Saccharomyces cerevisiae S288C: one gene and its partner. The protein of the gene in region 1 interacts with the protein of each later gene in a biochemical or structural test. Each region holds a gene or a part of one and is shown in the gene's direction. Other genes may lie near its edges.

What was found. Proteins that work in one complex are often made in the same cells at the same time.
Region 2: the proteins of CBP3 (region 1) and COB are reported together in a solved structure, tested with the Saccharomyces cerevisiae proteins (one study listed by BioGRID).

The regions. Positions count from the first base shown.
Region 1 is NC_001148.4:141,920-148,923, forward strand, and holds CBP3 (Cbp3p), read left to right. Parts: upstream 1-5,496; coding exon 5,497-6,504; downstream 6,505-7,004. Other genes in the region: GTPase BMS1, read right to left, coding at 1-1,252; YPL216W (uncharacterized protein), read left to right, coding at 1,902-5,210; THI6 (bifunctional hydroxyethylthiazole kinase/thiamine-phosphate diphosphorylase), read right to left, coding at 6,650-7,004. UniProt on the Saccharomyces cerevisiae protein: Chaperone required for the assembly of ubiquinol-cytochrome c reductase of the mitochondrial respiratory chain.
Region 2 is NC_001224.1:32,951-43,443, forward strand, and holds the start of COB (cytochrome b), read left to right. Parts: upstream 1-3,589; coding exon 3,590-4,004; intron 4,005-4,772; coding exon 4,773-4,786; coding exon of another isoform or gene 4,787-5,629; intron 5,630-6,190; coding exon 6,191-6,267; coding exon of another isoform or gene 6,268-7,315; intron 7,316-7,890; coding exon 7,891-8,140; coding exon of another isoform or gene 8,141-9,301; intron 9,302-9,557; coding exon 9,558-9,608; intron 9,609-10,346; coding exon 10,347-10,493. Other genes in the region: intron-encoded RNA maturase bI4, read left to right, coding at 3,590-4,004, 4,773-4,786, 6,191-6,267, 7,891-9,301; cytochrome b mRNA maturase bI3, read left to right, coding at 3,590-4,004, 4,773-4,786, 6,191-7,315; cytochrome b mRNA maturase bI2, read left to right, coding at 3,590-4,004, 4,773-5,629. UniProt on the Saccharomyces cerevisiae protein: Component of the ubiquinol-cytochrome c oxidoreductase, a multisubunit transmembrane complex that is part of the mitochondrial electron transport chain which drives oxidative phosphorylation.

The DNA.
Region 1 (7,004 bases):
ATTGCAAACCCACACCATCAAATTTCTCTGCAATACTTTGTTCAACACTTTGTAAACCCGTCATGAGTTTTTCTCCTTCACCTCTTTCTTGGCCGGGAACAAAACTTGGCTCTTCATTTTTCTTTCCAATATCAATATAAACAGCATCCTTATCCATCAACACACCTCCGACATCGGACATTGGAGCATATATCAATTTATCTTTATCATCTAACCTTTTACGTCTTCTTGTCGTAGAGGCAGTTGTAATTTCTCCGTTAGCCTTTGCCTCTTCTTTCATTTTTTCACGTTCAAAATCATCCAGTTTCTGTTGGTAAAAAGGTGTGGGACATGGATCTGGTAATTTTTCAATTTGTGCTACTGAGAAATCACCAACACCAGCAATATGCACCCTAGTGCCCGGAGCAGAAGGCAAAGGAGTACCGTGCAAATAACCATAGATAGCGACTTTGCGGTCGATTTGCAGTCCTTGAGTCTCTATTAATTCCGGATGAGTTAAATCTGTGAATCTGTCAGCCAACATATAGGGATGTTCGTTCCTCCATTTTAATGGTCTGAATTTCATAACAGATATAAATCGTGAAAGGTTTAAAATCTCTCTATCAGGATACCTTCCATTAATCACACCAGATAGGTAAAATAATTTTGCACCTTGATAAACTTCCGTCCAGAATCTGTGCTTTAATCTTTTCTTAGAAGCTCTCAAAGTTGACTGAGATTTAAACAGATCAAGATGTGTAGCTACACCAAGTACTCTTGGCATACCGTGATGTTGAGCAATATTTAAGAATTCCATTGTTTCCATTTCAAAACCGAAATTACCGTCAATTAGTAAAAGAACCAAGTCGGCAATCTTAGCAATATCAATCATCGCATTCAGATCGTCCGCAGGGCACTCCAAAAAAGTTAGTCTTCTATGTTTACCAGAGACAACAGTAATAGGACCTTGAATATCATTCAAAGTGCTTTTTGTCATTCTCCTGACGAGGGACCGAATCAAAGTAGTCTTTCCTGTTCCAGGTGGACCCACGACAGCGACGATAAATGGAGGCGGATCATCTTCAGGGGTACGATCAACCATAGGAACATGCAGTTTTCTTTCGTTCACATCACTTGACCTTTGCATAGTTCTCGCCATCTTACCTGGGGCTGCCACGGCAAAGGCCTTTGCATTATGACCCTGCGTATGGAGCTTCTTTTTTGCTGTATTCTTCTCCTTCGCCTTACGGTGCTGTTTATTAGACTGCTCCATCGTTTCAGATAACTCAGATGGCTGATTAAAGGCTACTATTATGTGATATTTTTACCTTAACAGCGCAAATACTTTCCTTAATTTTGAAGCTTCACTTCAGCTCATCGCCTTGAAAATTTTTCATTTGTACGGACATTAAACTTAGGCGATAACAAAAAAAAAACTTCATCTAGATAATCTCAACTTTGAAATTACAGAAATATTTACAACAGTAGTACGAGTATCTGCACTATGGCTCACATGTCCTTAAAATAATCTAAGCTTACCTATCTGATATTTGTTTTGATATTGTTTAGGACCAGCAGTTTCTGAGAGTTTAGCAAATGCACCTTTACAGCTATCCTCAACTTTTGGAAGAGAAAGTGACAAGATATGTAACAATACTTGCATGAATCGACATTTGTTTACTTTGGTCCATTTTGTATATGATAGTGTGATTTAGCGATATGGAATTATGTGTATTTTTCTATTTGTTGTCATTTCAATATGGGATGACTTGTTTTCTTGTAACGCGCCACTTCAATAGTAAACATTATGAACCTGATAAATGTTAGCAGACTTAGTAAGAGAGACAATCATTTTCATTCAGTAAAAATCGCAATCCCTAGTTTGGCTCTTCTTCTAGCCGTACTTTAAATTCAAAGCAAAAATGGTTCTGCTTAACAGAAGGAAAATACAACCTAAGGAAATAGGACAGTCTGCTGATTCCTTCTCTGAAACTCCATGGGTGATTAAAGAAAGTAGCGAGCGTATAAATGATTATGACAGTGATTTAAAAAAGCTAGATTTTTACAAAAGGGATATATTCACCTGTGAGATTAGTGGAAAAGATGGCCTTTCGTATTTCAAGGCGTTAAAAAGCGAAGAACAGCACCGTGAAAAGGTCAGATATCTTTTACCAAAAGAACTAAGGAAGGCTATAGCAAATTTCGCAAACTTCAGTCCGATAAGGAAGGTAGGACACCTTGTAGAAAGCGCATTTCAGCGTTTTAGTAACCGTTTCTTTATAGGCGATACGGTGTGCTTGAAAACTATCCAAAAAAATGCATTGATTACCTATAAAGAAGGAGAGCCTAACTTGGTAGAATCACCAACTATTGAAAACAATGTCACGTTGTTCCTTGTCAAGGATGTGTTTCAATCTAACGGGATGATGGAAAGTGAAAAGGGAGAAATTTCTGCCCCAAAATTGTCACTGTATTTAATCACAGAATGCCTGAATCGAGAATCTAAAGGTGCGGCCCTAATTGTAGGCCAGAATGAAATTAAAAGGCCAGAATCACACTTTTCTAAATTCATAATTGCGTGTTTTCTTAATGAAATACTCATAAAAGTATCGAATAAGGAGCACGCACCATGGAGGGTGAAACAAGAATATATAGAAAGATATGATGTAAACCCTAAATGCTCTCCTAATATGATTGATTATTTGCCGGATAGAATGAACTCATCTTCTTCCGAGCTTTACACTCCTCTTACTATACCACCAGAGAGCGATGTTGAACCTGCTGACTGGAAGGAAACGTCGGAAACGTCGGAAACGTCGGAAACGTCACTATCTAAAATAAAAGCAATTGACGACGAGATTTCAGTCTCATTTGACCACATTTACGATAATGTGAACTCCCTTGCCTACAATGATTTGAAGGGAACCGTCGACGACAAGGAGCTTCCATTCACTGGGCCTTCGATACCATTTGAAAATATCAGCTACTTAGATAGCTCCTTAGAATATAAGAATATCGATCAAAAATGGTTCAAAGAGTGCAGTCAATTTCCAACGGAACGACTATTGGTTGTTTATCAATTCCTGAGCTTTTTTGGACGTTTTATTGGTCTATCACATTTTAATTTTGATCAGTTCCTTACTACTATCAAGTGTACTAGTCCGGAGGCTTTAGTAGATGAATATGTCAAAATAAACTTTCTTAAAACTTACAACAGCAAAGGGAGTTTCACAAATGAGAAGCCAAGAAACGAAATATATAATCAAGTGACCAGTAGTAACGTATCCCAGCGTGAGAAGGCTAACGTCTTTAATGCAGATGAGAGTCAACGAATACCTAGCAATTTCACCAGAAACCAGAAAATGAGGAAATTTATAACGGATAAAAGTACTGAATTTGTAATGTATTCCATTTTTAAAGGGAAGCCTCTAAAAAATGACGATATGGAGTTTCAATCGTACGAAAAAGTGAATATACTTTACATTGATATAGTTTGCTCGTTAATGTGTCTGATGACGGATAATGAACCTGATTGGAATTGTAATCTGATGGACAATTGGACTGAAGAAAAGCGAAAGGAGGAAGGAAATAAAACAGAAATTGATATAGCTATAGAAAAGTGTTTGAACTATGGAGATACTAGCTGGGTTAAACTTTTGCACAATAAAAACTTTAGCAACGGCAATTGGTTGATCTGTCTCCTTGGAATCTTGCAACAGAATACACATATGATAGCATATAGTGATGTCGCAAAATGTATCACAAAAAAAATACTACCTTTATCCATGAATTTTGTAAATTTAGGTGATGAGCTCTGGGATAACTTTCGCAAGAGATTATCTATAAAAGATAAAATTGATGTTTTATGGGTTCTCGTAGATTTTGCGTCCAATTTCTCGAGTTATATTAAGGAGTTGGTAGATAAAGTACCAAAACTGTGCAATGGAATCCGCTTAAAGTTGGATAGTGCAAAAAAAGAGTATATCAAATTGAAACGGCAACTAAAAACGTTAACCAAAAATCGCGTGAAGCTTCACAGCAACGTTTCAATGAACCGATATGGATCAGATGAATGTAAAGGTAAGGTCAATGCCCTTAAAGTGAAAATTGCATACTTAATGGAAGATATCGCCTTCCTAGAGGCAAAATTGATTCAGAGCGATATCAAGAGACTAGAGATTTTGGGTAAAGATAGAAATGGAAATCGATATTATTGGATGGACTCAAATGGATCGTCATCAGCCATCAGTGAAAAAAATGAGGAACTTTACAACTGCTGTTTTTTGTGGGTTCAAGGACCCTCTGAAGCGGATATAAACTTTTGCTTAGATGTCGACGTCGAATCTTTGAAAAAATGGGAGTTGTTAGCTAAAGCAAAAGGTACTGCCTACGCGACAAAAGAAGTCTTTTCAATATTTAGGTCGACAGACGGGTCTTACTATCAAATTGCTCAAGGTGAGAATTTCATGATAATTAATTCAAACGGTATCTTAATGAGGCCAACTATTCCGGCATTCATAGACAAAAAAATTATATCAGAAACTCCAGAAAAGCTCCTACTCTCTCATCATCAATGGGCTTTCTTCAACGATATAGAAGATATACATATGTTAGTAGATAGGTTGGATGATTTAAGAGAAAATGAGGGACAATTGAAGAAAGCTTTGACATCCAAAATGGACCGTATTGAAGTATCATACAAGCAACAGTTCAAAATTAAAAGGCGTATTGAATGTGATGAAACCTTCAAAAAAAATCACAAACTTTTGAAAAATAACGAGTTCACGTTTCCTGAACTGAAAAGAATTGAGACAACTTGTACATCCAACGGCCAACATTTTTCCAACATGGAGAAAATTTCCAAAAAACTATCAAGGACAAAGAATGATCTCGTTTTGGAAGCGATTTTAAAAGACGTAGCTCACCTTGGAGAATGTGAAAGAGCACTTCTCAAAAAGCAACAAAATTTGATTTATCCTTTGAATTTTCATTTCGAACAATTGAGGACGATAGACCTCGAATTTATAGTTGAAACGAAAAGAAAAAGGCAAGAGGATATTCTTACGAAGCTTTTAAATCATCAGAGGTATAAGCATATTAGTCATGTTTCAGGCTATGGGATAAGTTCTCAACGAGTAGATAAAGCTGCACATCTTGATGTGCAGGGTATATTAGAGGAGATTGAATGTCAACTTATTTCAAGACGACGAGAGGATGAAGAACGCAACTAGAAACAACTCTGCAGTTCAAATCACTCTTCCTGTATACGCCTTAGAAAGATATTAGAAATATCTTTTACTATTTAATCTTCACCATTCATTATTCCTCGTATATAAATTGGCCCATTTCAGGGCGTCTGACTGGAGTTGTATTTAGGCTTTACCCGGCGTTCTTCTGAATTTATAGCCAGCAAGGAAAACAACGTCAAAATTGGTCCTCGACTGACGCATTAGTAAGATTAATATTTAGCAAACACTATGATCTCCGTAACAATCTCTTCAGCTATTCCAACACTTGATGATGTCAGTCAATAGATTTACTTCAGGTCGACTCCCTGTTTTCCTTAGAAAGTCCCCTTTTTACTACTCGAGAGCTTATTTGCATCAAACATGTGTTTTCAAGCAAAATAAAGAAACTGCACAAGATTCGCCAGAGCTTTTAGCAAAAAGCTCACATCTGAATTCGAAACCACTAGATGTAAGCAATAAAGCACCAGTGAAAACTGCTCAGAATAAAATTCCTCTAGCTCATAGTAAATATGAATCGTCAAAGTACGAACTTCCCAAATGGAAAGAAGCCTTGGGTGAACTAGTAATTCGAGCATTTCATTTAGATATGGATAGAGTGAGGGCAGGGCCCGTTGCAGGATCTTACTATTATAAAATTTGTAAAGAGCAAGGTTTACAATACGAGGACGAGCCATTATCAGAAACTGCTAAATACTTTTACGAGGATTTGAAGCTACCACGTACTTTTTCACAATGGTTTCAAATCACTGTATTGCACGAGTGGATACTTTTTGTACGTATGAGAGCCATGCCTTTCAAATACGGCAGAAACTATCAGCAGAAATTGGTAGATAGAACATTTTCTGACATTGAGCTGAGATTATTCGAGGAAATGAAAGTTAATTCTGGTAGAATCGCAGATCAATATTTGAAAGATTTCAATACGCAATTAAGAGGAGCGATATTTGCATATGATGAAGGATTTGCTACAGATGATGGTACACTTGCGACAGCTGTCTGGAGAAATCTTTTTGGTGGAAGAAAGAACATTGATATGGTTCATTTAGAGTCTGTTGTGAGATACATTTATTCTCAACTATATGTTCTAAGCAGGTTATCAGACAGAGAGTTTGCCACAGGTAAATTCAAGTTTGTTCCTCCTGGGGTGAAGGTCGAAAAACTGACACCAAAGCAAGAGGAAGAGTTGAAGGCCAAGACCATTGCAAAATATGAAGCTCTAGACAAGGATCCTAAAACCTTACCAAGCGAGAGAAGTAGGCTGTCATATACAAACTAAACGAGCTAGTTTGTAACTTCAAAACTTATGAAAACACTTATTTATTCTTCAGATACTATCCGCACAAATTCCTTAAGTTTTTTCCAATTTTTTGGGCTTTCTTCCTTATTTAATCAGTTTATAAAATCATTACGTTGTAAATAGTTTATTTGAATTTCTTCAAAGAAGCGGACCACTTTTCTGGTTTATTTTCATGGAATAATTGATATAATGCGTCAATCAATTCGACATGGAATGAACCACTTCCTTGACAACGGGTGGAAGCCAACTTACCAGCTGATTTGTATAATAGGACAGCACCAACCACAGCATCAAACAGTTTTCCAGTGGAATCTAACCCACCGATAAAGGAAGCAATTGTAGAACCAAGTGAACATCCACTTGCAGTGATGTCACCCATGATAGGAATTGGGCCATCTTCAATTATTACACATGGAAGATCTTCAGCGGTTATTCCTTCTGTTCCTGATGAAAGTTTGTATTCGCCTCCAAAAGTACCA
Region 2 (10,493 bases), on another chromosome or scaffold:
ATAATAAATATTAAATATAATATATAATAATATATAATCTTACAATTTATAATTTAATAAAGAAGGAAATAAATAATAATAACTCCTTTTGGGGTTCCGGTGGGGTTCACACCTTTATAAATAATAAATAAAGATGTTTACTCCTCTTCGGGGTTCCGGTCCCCTTTTTGGGTTCCGGAACTAATTAATATTTTATATAATAATAATAATATATTAATATAATTTCATTATTAATAAATATCTCCTGCGGGGTTCGGTTCCCCCCCGTAAGGGGGGGGTCCCTCACTCCTTCGGAGCGTACTATTATTATAAATAATTATATATTATAATATAATTAAAAAGTATTATAATTGAAACGAAAATTGTAATTTTAAATGGAATAATAATTATTATATATTTAATATATTTAATAAAGTTATAATATCTCTTTCTACCGGACTATTTTATTTTATTTTATTTTATTTTTATAAAGAAAAATAGTAATAATATTATCTTCTCCTCCTTTCGGGGTTCCGGTTCCCGTGCCGGGCCCCGGAACTATTAATTATATAATATAATATAATATAATATAATATAATATGATACGGATCAAACATTACCCGTTGTTCACTGGCAATGTTTAATCCTATTGTATATAAATATAATAAAATAATTATCCCTCTCGTAATACATATATAAAATATAAAATATAAAATAAAAATATTATGATTATTATAATATATATATATATATATATAAATATATATATATAATTTATAATTTATATGATTAATATATTATATATATAAAAAATATATTAAATTTACTTTTTATAGAAAGGAGTGAGGGACCCCCCCCCCTTACGGGGGGGAACCGAACCCCGCAGGAGATATTTATTTTAATACTTATATAGTATTTATTAATAATATAATAATTGTTATTATAAATATTAATAATAATATAAAAATAGGGTAAATAATATAAATAATATGAATAAATATAAAAACATATTAAATATAAAATATATCATAAATTTAATAAATATTATAATAATTTATAAATGATAGATATCTGGGGTCCTATAAATAATAATTATTTTCAATAATTATAGGGACCCCCACCTATTATATAAATATAAATATAAATATAAATATAAATACAAATATAAATATATAAATATATAAATATAATATAAATACAAATATAATATATAAATATAAATATAAATATATAAATATAAGTCCCCGCCCCGGCGGGGACCCCGAAGGAGTGAGGGACCCCTCCCTATACTAATGGGAGGGGGACCGAACCCCGAAGGAGTATAAATAAAAATTAATAATATATATATAATTATAATAGTTCCGGGGCCCGGCCACGGGAGCCGGAACCCCGAAAGGAGAAATAATAATATAATATATAATAAAATATAACTTATTAATATAATATTAAAAATATAATTAACAAGAATAAATAGTCCGTGGGATCGAACCCCCTTTTTTATTTAATATTTAATATTTAAAGAAGGAATTGTTTATATATATTAATATCTTATTTGGGGATTAATATAATATATAAGTTTTGGATACCAGGCCAAAGACCGGAATCCCAAAAGGAGATTATATAAATATTATTTATCTCCCTTTTTTAATATTATAATAATTTTATTAAAAATAAAATAATAATAATAATTATAATTTATAATAACAATTATAATAATTTAATTAATTAATTAATTAATTAATTAATTAATTAATTAATTAATAATAAATATAAATATAAAAAGAATATAATTTATAATAAATAAATTTATATATATATATATATATTAAATAAAATATTTACTTCATTAATATAAAATATAAATATATTTAATTAATAAGTATATATATATAATAATATATAATAACCTATTTATATATATAATCTTAATATAATTATAAGAAATATTATATAAGTAATATATAAAAATAATATAAAATAATTATAATTCAATTTATATATTAATAGTTCCGGGGCCCGGCCACGGGAGCCGGAACCCCGAAAGGAGGAATAAGATAAATATATAAATTATATTAATAAATATAAATTTTAAATGAATTAATAAAATTAATATATATATGTATATATATATATATATTAAAAATATTTAATTATTTTTAGGAAGGAGTGATAGATCCCTTTGGGGGACCGAACCCCTATTTAAGAAGGAGTGCGGGACCCCGTGGGAACCGAACCCCTTTTTTATTTAAAGAAGAAGTTTTATTTTATTTTATTTTATTTTATTTTATTTTATTTTATTTTATTTTATTTTATTTTATTTAATTTAATTTTAATTAGGTTAATAAATAGTAATAATAAACTTAATAATAATAATAATAATTTTATTTTTATAATTTATTAATAATAATAATAATTATATATATATATATTATTAATAAATATAGACCTTATCGTCTAATGGTTACGACATCACCTCTTCATGTTGATAATATCGGTTCGATTCCGATTAAGGTTATTCATAATAATAAATATTTGTAAAAAAAGTATATATAATTAAACATATTCTTTATATTAATTAATAATTATTAATAATATACATTTTATATAATACAATTATATATATATATATATTTTTTTTTAATACAAATAATATATTCATAATAATAAATACCGATTGTTATTATACTATAATAAAATATATAATATATTTTTCATTATAATATTTTTAAATAAATATTATAATAAATTATATAAATAATATTTATGTATAATAATAATAATAATAATTGTTATTAATTAATTCTATAATTATTATATATTTAATTTTTTTTTTTAATATAATATATAATAATATAATTTATTTTATTTTTTTTTATAGTTCCGGGGCCCGGTCACGGGAGCCGGAACCCCGAAAGGAGAATATAAATTAATAATAATATAAATAACATATTAACAATAAATTATTGTTAATATAATAATAATAATAACAATATTAATAAATAATATAAAAATTATTAATATTATATTTATATAATATTAATATAAAAATCTTTCATAATATTAATTATTATTAAATAATAATGATATCATTAATATTAATATAATCGTCAATATTATTTATTTATTTATTTATTTATTTATTTATTTATTTATTTATTATTAAATAAATATTTTTAAATATTATATTATATTATTAACTTTTTATTAAAAAAATTAATAATGATATAATATAATTAATATTATCCACGGGACCAATGACCAACCCAGTAGTTGACCGGATTGGCGCCCGCGAGGTTTATATTTAATAAATAATAATAATAATATTAATAAAATCTATTAACTTTTTTTTTTAATGGATTATATTAATGAAAAAAAAATGAGAAATATCTTTTTTTTTTAATAATTATAATTTATATATAATAAAATATGTATATATAATAAAAAAATAGTTTTTAATATTATAATATAATTATATATATAATTATAAATATATATATATATAATAAGTATTAATTAATAATATATATTTATATATTTTTTATTAATTAATATATATAAAATATTAGTAATAAATAATATTATTAATATTTTATAAATAAATAATAATAATATGGCATTTAGAAAATCAAATGTGTATTTAAGTTTAGTGAATAGTTATATTATTGATTCACCACAACCATCATCAATTAATTATTGATGAAATATGGGTTCATTATTAGGTTTATGTTTAGTTATTCAAATTGTAACAGGTATTTTTATGGCTATGCATTATTCATCTAATATTGAATTAGCTTTTTCATCTGTTGAACATATTATAAGAGATGTGCATAATGGTTATATTTTAAGATATTTACATGCAAATGGTGCATCATTCTTTTTTATGGTAATGTTTATGCATATGGCTAAAGGTTTATATTATGGTTCATATAGATCACCAAGAGTACTATTATGAAATGTAGGTGTTATTATTTTCATTTTAACTATTGCTACAGCTTTTTTAGGTTATTGTTGTGTTTATGGACAGAGTGAGACAAGTATAAGTATATTATTATAATATCATACCATTAAATAAATTATTTTAATGAAATGATTATGTTTATATATAACATATACCTAATTAGACATGCATTATTAGTAATAATTTTGTATGAAACTCTAATAATAATAATTATTATTAATTATTAAGGTAAGATTCATATGGATAGCGTAAGTCAATCTAATATTATAAAATATCGTAACATAAACAATATTTTTTTCTATTATTAATTAATAAATAATAATAAATAAAAATAATTATATGAGAAGTAAGATATTCAATTCTGTCTAGAATACATATATATACGTTAATACTCATCGGTATAAAATTAGAATCCTAAGTGAATTATTGAAAGTATAATAATATAAACTTGGTAAGCCCAATTATTTCCATATAATATTAATATAAATATTATATGGTAGTTATATATAATATTATTAAATAAATAATAATAGAAATTATAATATAGATAAGTGGGTAAAAGACTATTGAAAAAGCTAAAGATTATATGTAATGTATAATATAGATCAAATTATTTATATATTTTAATAAAAATATATTAATAATGGTTAATATTATTATTAATTAATTAATTAATTAATTAATAATAATAACGAATAAATGATTAATGTGAAAGCATGCTAACTTCAATATAGGATGATTTATATAGTATATAAATTGTTTGAGCTGTATACTATGAAAGTAGTACGTACAGTTCTGAGTGGGGGAAAATTTGTAAAGATCTACCTATCACAATTGTCACATTGAGGTAATATAAATATCGCCTCAAATATATTTAATATAATAAAACTAATTTATATAATAATGTTAATATTATTAATTTATATTTTTTATACGATTATAATAAGACAAATAATAAAAACTAAAGAATATCTTATATTAATTAAGAGTATAGATTATATTAATAAAAATAAATATATAATTAATTTAAATATAACAAATAAGAAAGATATAAATAATAATATTGGTCCATTAAATATAAACATTTTATCAATTATTTATGGTTCAATATTAGGAGATGGTCATGCTGAAAAAAGAAAAGGTGGTAAAGGAACAAGAATTGTATTTCAACAAGAATATTGTAATATTAATTATTTATATTATTTACATAGTTTATTAGCTAATTTAGGTTATTGTAATACTAATTTACCTTTAATTAAAACTAGATTAGGTAAAAAAGGTAAAATTAGACAATATTTAAAATTTAATACATGAACTTATGATTCATTTAATATGATTTATTCAGAATGGTATATTAAAAATATATCTGGAAAAGGTAATATTAAAGTTATTCCTAAATCTTTAGACAATTATTTAACTCCTTTAGCTTTAGCTATTTGAATTATAGATGATGGATGTAAATTAGGTAAAGGTTTAAAATTCACAACTAATTGTTTTAGTTATAAAGATGTTCAATATTTACTTTATTTATTACATAATAAATATAATATTAAATCTACTATTCTTAAAGGCAATAAAGAAAATACACAATTTGTTATTTATGTATGAAAAGAATCTATACCTATTTTAACTAAAATTGTATCTCCTTATATTATTCCTAGTATAAAATATAAATTAGGTAATTATTTATAATAAAATATATAGTATTATATTAATTATTATATTATTATAATGCGATATTATTGAAAACATGTCAAAATTATATTATTAAGTAACAAGACAGTGGGTTATATAATTATATGATCCCAACAGAATACACCAATAATAGGTATTATTATAAAAAAAATAATAATATTTAATGTTTATTCGAAGAAAATTTATAATATTATTATTATAACACAAGGTTTAATAATCTATATATATATATTATATATATAACTACTGTTATTATTCCATTTACCTAATTAATATATAAATAATGAATTATAATTATTATGATTAATATTTTTATAATAATAACCCCATCATAACATTTATATATAACATTTATATATAACATTTATATATAATATTTATATTATGGTATTATTAGGTATAAATATTTATTCATAAGAGAAAATAGTGATTAAATGGAATTATAAAAAGGGTAGATATTATTAAATACAGGGTATTATTTATATTAATAAATCAATAAATATTGAGATTATTATTATTAAAAAATAATAATAATTTATAAATAATATTATTTTCTTGGCACTAGTTATTACTAATTTATTCTCAGCAATTCCATTTGTAGGTAACGATATTGTATCTTGATTATGAGGTGGGTTTAATATAGAGGATCCATATTATAGTAATATAATATTAAATAAATCTGTTTTATGCTGAAATATCTTCATTTGAATAATAAATTACTATATTATTCAATTAATTATTTATAATAATATAATTTGAAATAAAAATAATATAGTTAAAATATTTATTATAAGAAGAAAATTAGCAGTAATTAATATATATATATATATAAAATTAATTATTCAGAGACTTTATAGTTATTATATAAATAATACTATTATTTATGATAAAAATCATAAATTAAACACAGATAATCCTATTTATGCATATATTGGTGGTTTATTTGAAGGAGATGGTTGAATTACTATTTCAAAAAAAGGTAAATATTTATTATATGAATTAGGTATTGAAATACATATTAGAGATATTCAATTATTATATAAAATTAAAAATATTTTAGGTATTGGTAAAGTAACAATTAAAAAATTAAAAATAAAAGATGGTACTATTAAAGAAATATGTAAATTTAATGTAAGAAATAAAAATCATTTAAAGAATATTATTATTCCTATTTTTGATAAATATCCTATATTAACTAATAAACATTATGATTATTTATATTTTAAAGATAATTTATTAAAAGATATTAAATATTATAATGATTTATCTTATTATTTACGTCCTATTAAACCATTTAATACTCTTGAAGATATTTTAAATAAAAATTATTTTTCTTCATGATTAATTGGTTTTTTTGAAGCTGAAAGTTGTTTTAGTATTTATAAACCTATAAATAAAAAAATAAAACTTGCTAGTTTTGAAGTATCTCAAAATAATAGTATAGAAGTTATATTAGCTATTAAATCATATTTAAAAATTACTCAAAATATTTATACAGATAAATTTAATAATTCAAGAATAACACTTAAAAGTATTAATGGTATTAAAAATGTTGTAATATTTATTAATAATAACCCTATTAAATTATTAGGTTATAAAAAATTACAATATTTATTATTCTTAAAAGATTTACGTCTTATTCTTAAATATAATAATTATTTTAAAATTCCTCCTAAATATTAATCTTATATAAAAATATAATAATAATATATTTATATATTATATAATTATATAAACAAAATATAATTTATATATAATTATTTATTATAAATATAGTCCGGCCCGCCCCGCGGGGCGGACCCCGGAGGAGTGAGGGACCCCTCCCTATTCTAACGGGAGGGGGACCGAACCCCGAAGGAGTTTAATTATATATTAAATATATTATTATCAATAAATAATTCCTTTGAACTATTTATTATTTTATTATATTTATTTTCTCCTTCATTATTAATTTTTATTAATAATTAAAATCTTATCATTTTATGGTATTTTTATTTCTATTTTAGGATATCGAAACTATAAATTAAAAAGTATAATTTTATTAATTATAATTTATGATTAATAAATAAGAAATAAAAACTTTAGAAGTAATATTTATCTTTTTTTTTTATAAATAAATATTATGATTAATATATAATCATTTATAAATATTTATATATAATTATATATATACATAAATAGGATTAAGATATAGTCCGAACAATATAGTGATATATTGATAATAGTTTTCAAATATGTAACTATTTAAACATTAAAAGCTCAGTATCTAACCCTCTAATCCAGAGATTCTTTGCGTTACATTATTTAGTACCTTTTATCATTGCTGCAATGGTTATTATGCATTTAATGGCATTACATATTCATGGTTCATCTAATCCATTAGGTATTACAGGTAATTTAGATAGAATTCCAATGCATTCATACTTTATTTTTAAAGATTTAGTAACTGTTTTCTTATTTATGTTAATTTTAGCATTATTTGTATTCTATTCACCTAATACTTTAGGTCAAAATATGGCCTTATTATTAATTACATATGTAATTAATATTTTATGTGCTGTATGCTGGAAATCTTTATTTATTAAATATCAATGAAAAATTTATAATAAAACTCTATATTATTTTATTATTCAAAATATTTTAAATACAAAACAATTAAATAATTTCGTATTAAAATTTAATTGAACAAAGCAATATAATAAAATAAATATTGTAAGTGATTTATTTAATCCCAATAGAGTAAAATATTATTATAAAGAAGATAATCAGCAGGTAACCAATATAAATTCTTCTAATACTCACTTAACGAGTAATAAAAAGAATTTATTAGTAGATACTTCAGAGACTACACGCACACTAAAAAATAAATTTAATTATTTATTAAATATTTTTAATATAAAAAAAATAAATCAAATTATTCTTAAAAGACATTATAGTATTTATAAAGATAGTAATATTAGATTTAACCAATGATTGGCCGGTTTAATTGACGGAGATGGTTATTTTTGTATTACTAAAAATAAATATGCATCTTGTGAAATTCTTGTAGAATTAAAAGATGAAAAAATGTTAAGACAAATCCAAGATAAATTTGGTGGTTCTGTAAAATTAAGATCAGGTGTTAAGGCTATTAGATATAGATTACAAAATAAAGAAGGTATAATTAAATTAATTAATGCCGTTAATGGTAATATTCGTAATAGTAAAAGATTAGTACAATTTAATAAAGTATGTATTTTATTAAATATCGATTTTAAAGAACCTATTAAATTAACTAAAGATAATGCTTGATTTATAGGGTTCTTTGATGCTGATGGTACTATTAATTATTATTATTCCGGTAAATTAAAAATTAGACCTCAATTAACTATTAGCGTTACAAATAAATATTTACATGATGTTGAATACTATAGAGAAGTATTTGGTGGTAATATTTATTTTGATAAAGCTAAAAATGGTTATTTTAAATGATCTATTAATAATAAAGAATTACATAATATTTTTTATCTTTATAATAAAAGTTGTCCTTCTAAATCTAATAAAGGTAAACGTTTATTTTTAATTGATAAATTTTATTATTTATATGATTTATTAGCTTTTAAAGCACCTCATAATACTGCTTTATATAAAGCTTGATTAAAATTTAATGAAAAATGAAATAATAATTAAATTTTCTCCGTATTCATTATTATATTATCTAATTTATAAAATATTTAAAGATTCCTTATAATAATATAACATCTTTGTAAATTATTGTTAAAGATAATATAAATTATTATGAATCGGTAGATTATATTTTTACAATCTTATTAAATAAAATTCTGATCATTAAACATGATTGAAGAAATAATAATAGTTTATGAAATAAGATAGTGTAATATAAATTTTTATGAAGATATAGTCCATTTTATATTTATTATAAAAGCATCCTGATAACTATATTCCTGGTAATCCTTTAGTAACACCAGCATCTATTGATATTAAAAATATTAATAAAATTATTATTATTTAATCTTATTTATTTTATATAAAAAAAATAAATAATAATTATTAATAAAAATATATTATTTATTTCTCCTTTCGGGGTTATTTATATATATTCCTTTATAATTTATATTTAATATATTATATTAAATATATGAAAAATTATAATAAATAAATTAATTAATTAATAATAAATAATAATAAAAAGTACAGTAGCATTAAATATTCTTAAGTTTCCGCTTTGTGGGAACTCCCATAAGGAGTTTAATGATTAAAATTGGTTAATTGTCAAGAAAATCTAAGGTATTAATAAATAAATAATACTATGACAACTTGCAGCGAAGTTTATATCATCTCTATATTATATATTAATATATATATATAATAATAATAATAATATTAATATAATATAAGATATAAAAACGTTCAACGACTAGAAAGTGAACTGAGATAGTAATACCTTTCCACGAAAACCAATTAATTTATAAATTATTTTTAAATAAAGAATAGATTATTAATTTTTTTTATATAGTTCCGGGCCCCGGCCACGGGAGCCGGAACCCCGGAAGGAGTAATATATATTATATATAAAATAAAAAATATATATATATATATTATAAAATATCAAAAGTTTTAATCTTTTATTATAAATTAATGACATAGTCTGAACAATAATGAAAATTATTGAGATAAGATATTAAATAATCTTATGTTAACATATATAAATTGTGTACCTGAATGATACTTATTACCATTCTATGCTATTTTAAGATCTATTCCTGATAAATTATTAGGAGTTATTCTAATGTTTGCAGCTATTTTAGTATTATTAGTTTTACCATTTACTGATAGAAGTGTAGTAAGAGGTAATACTTTT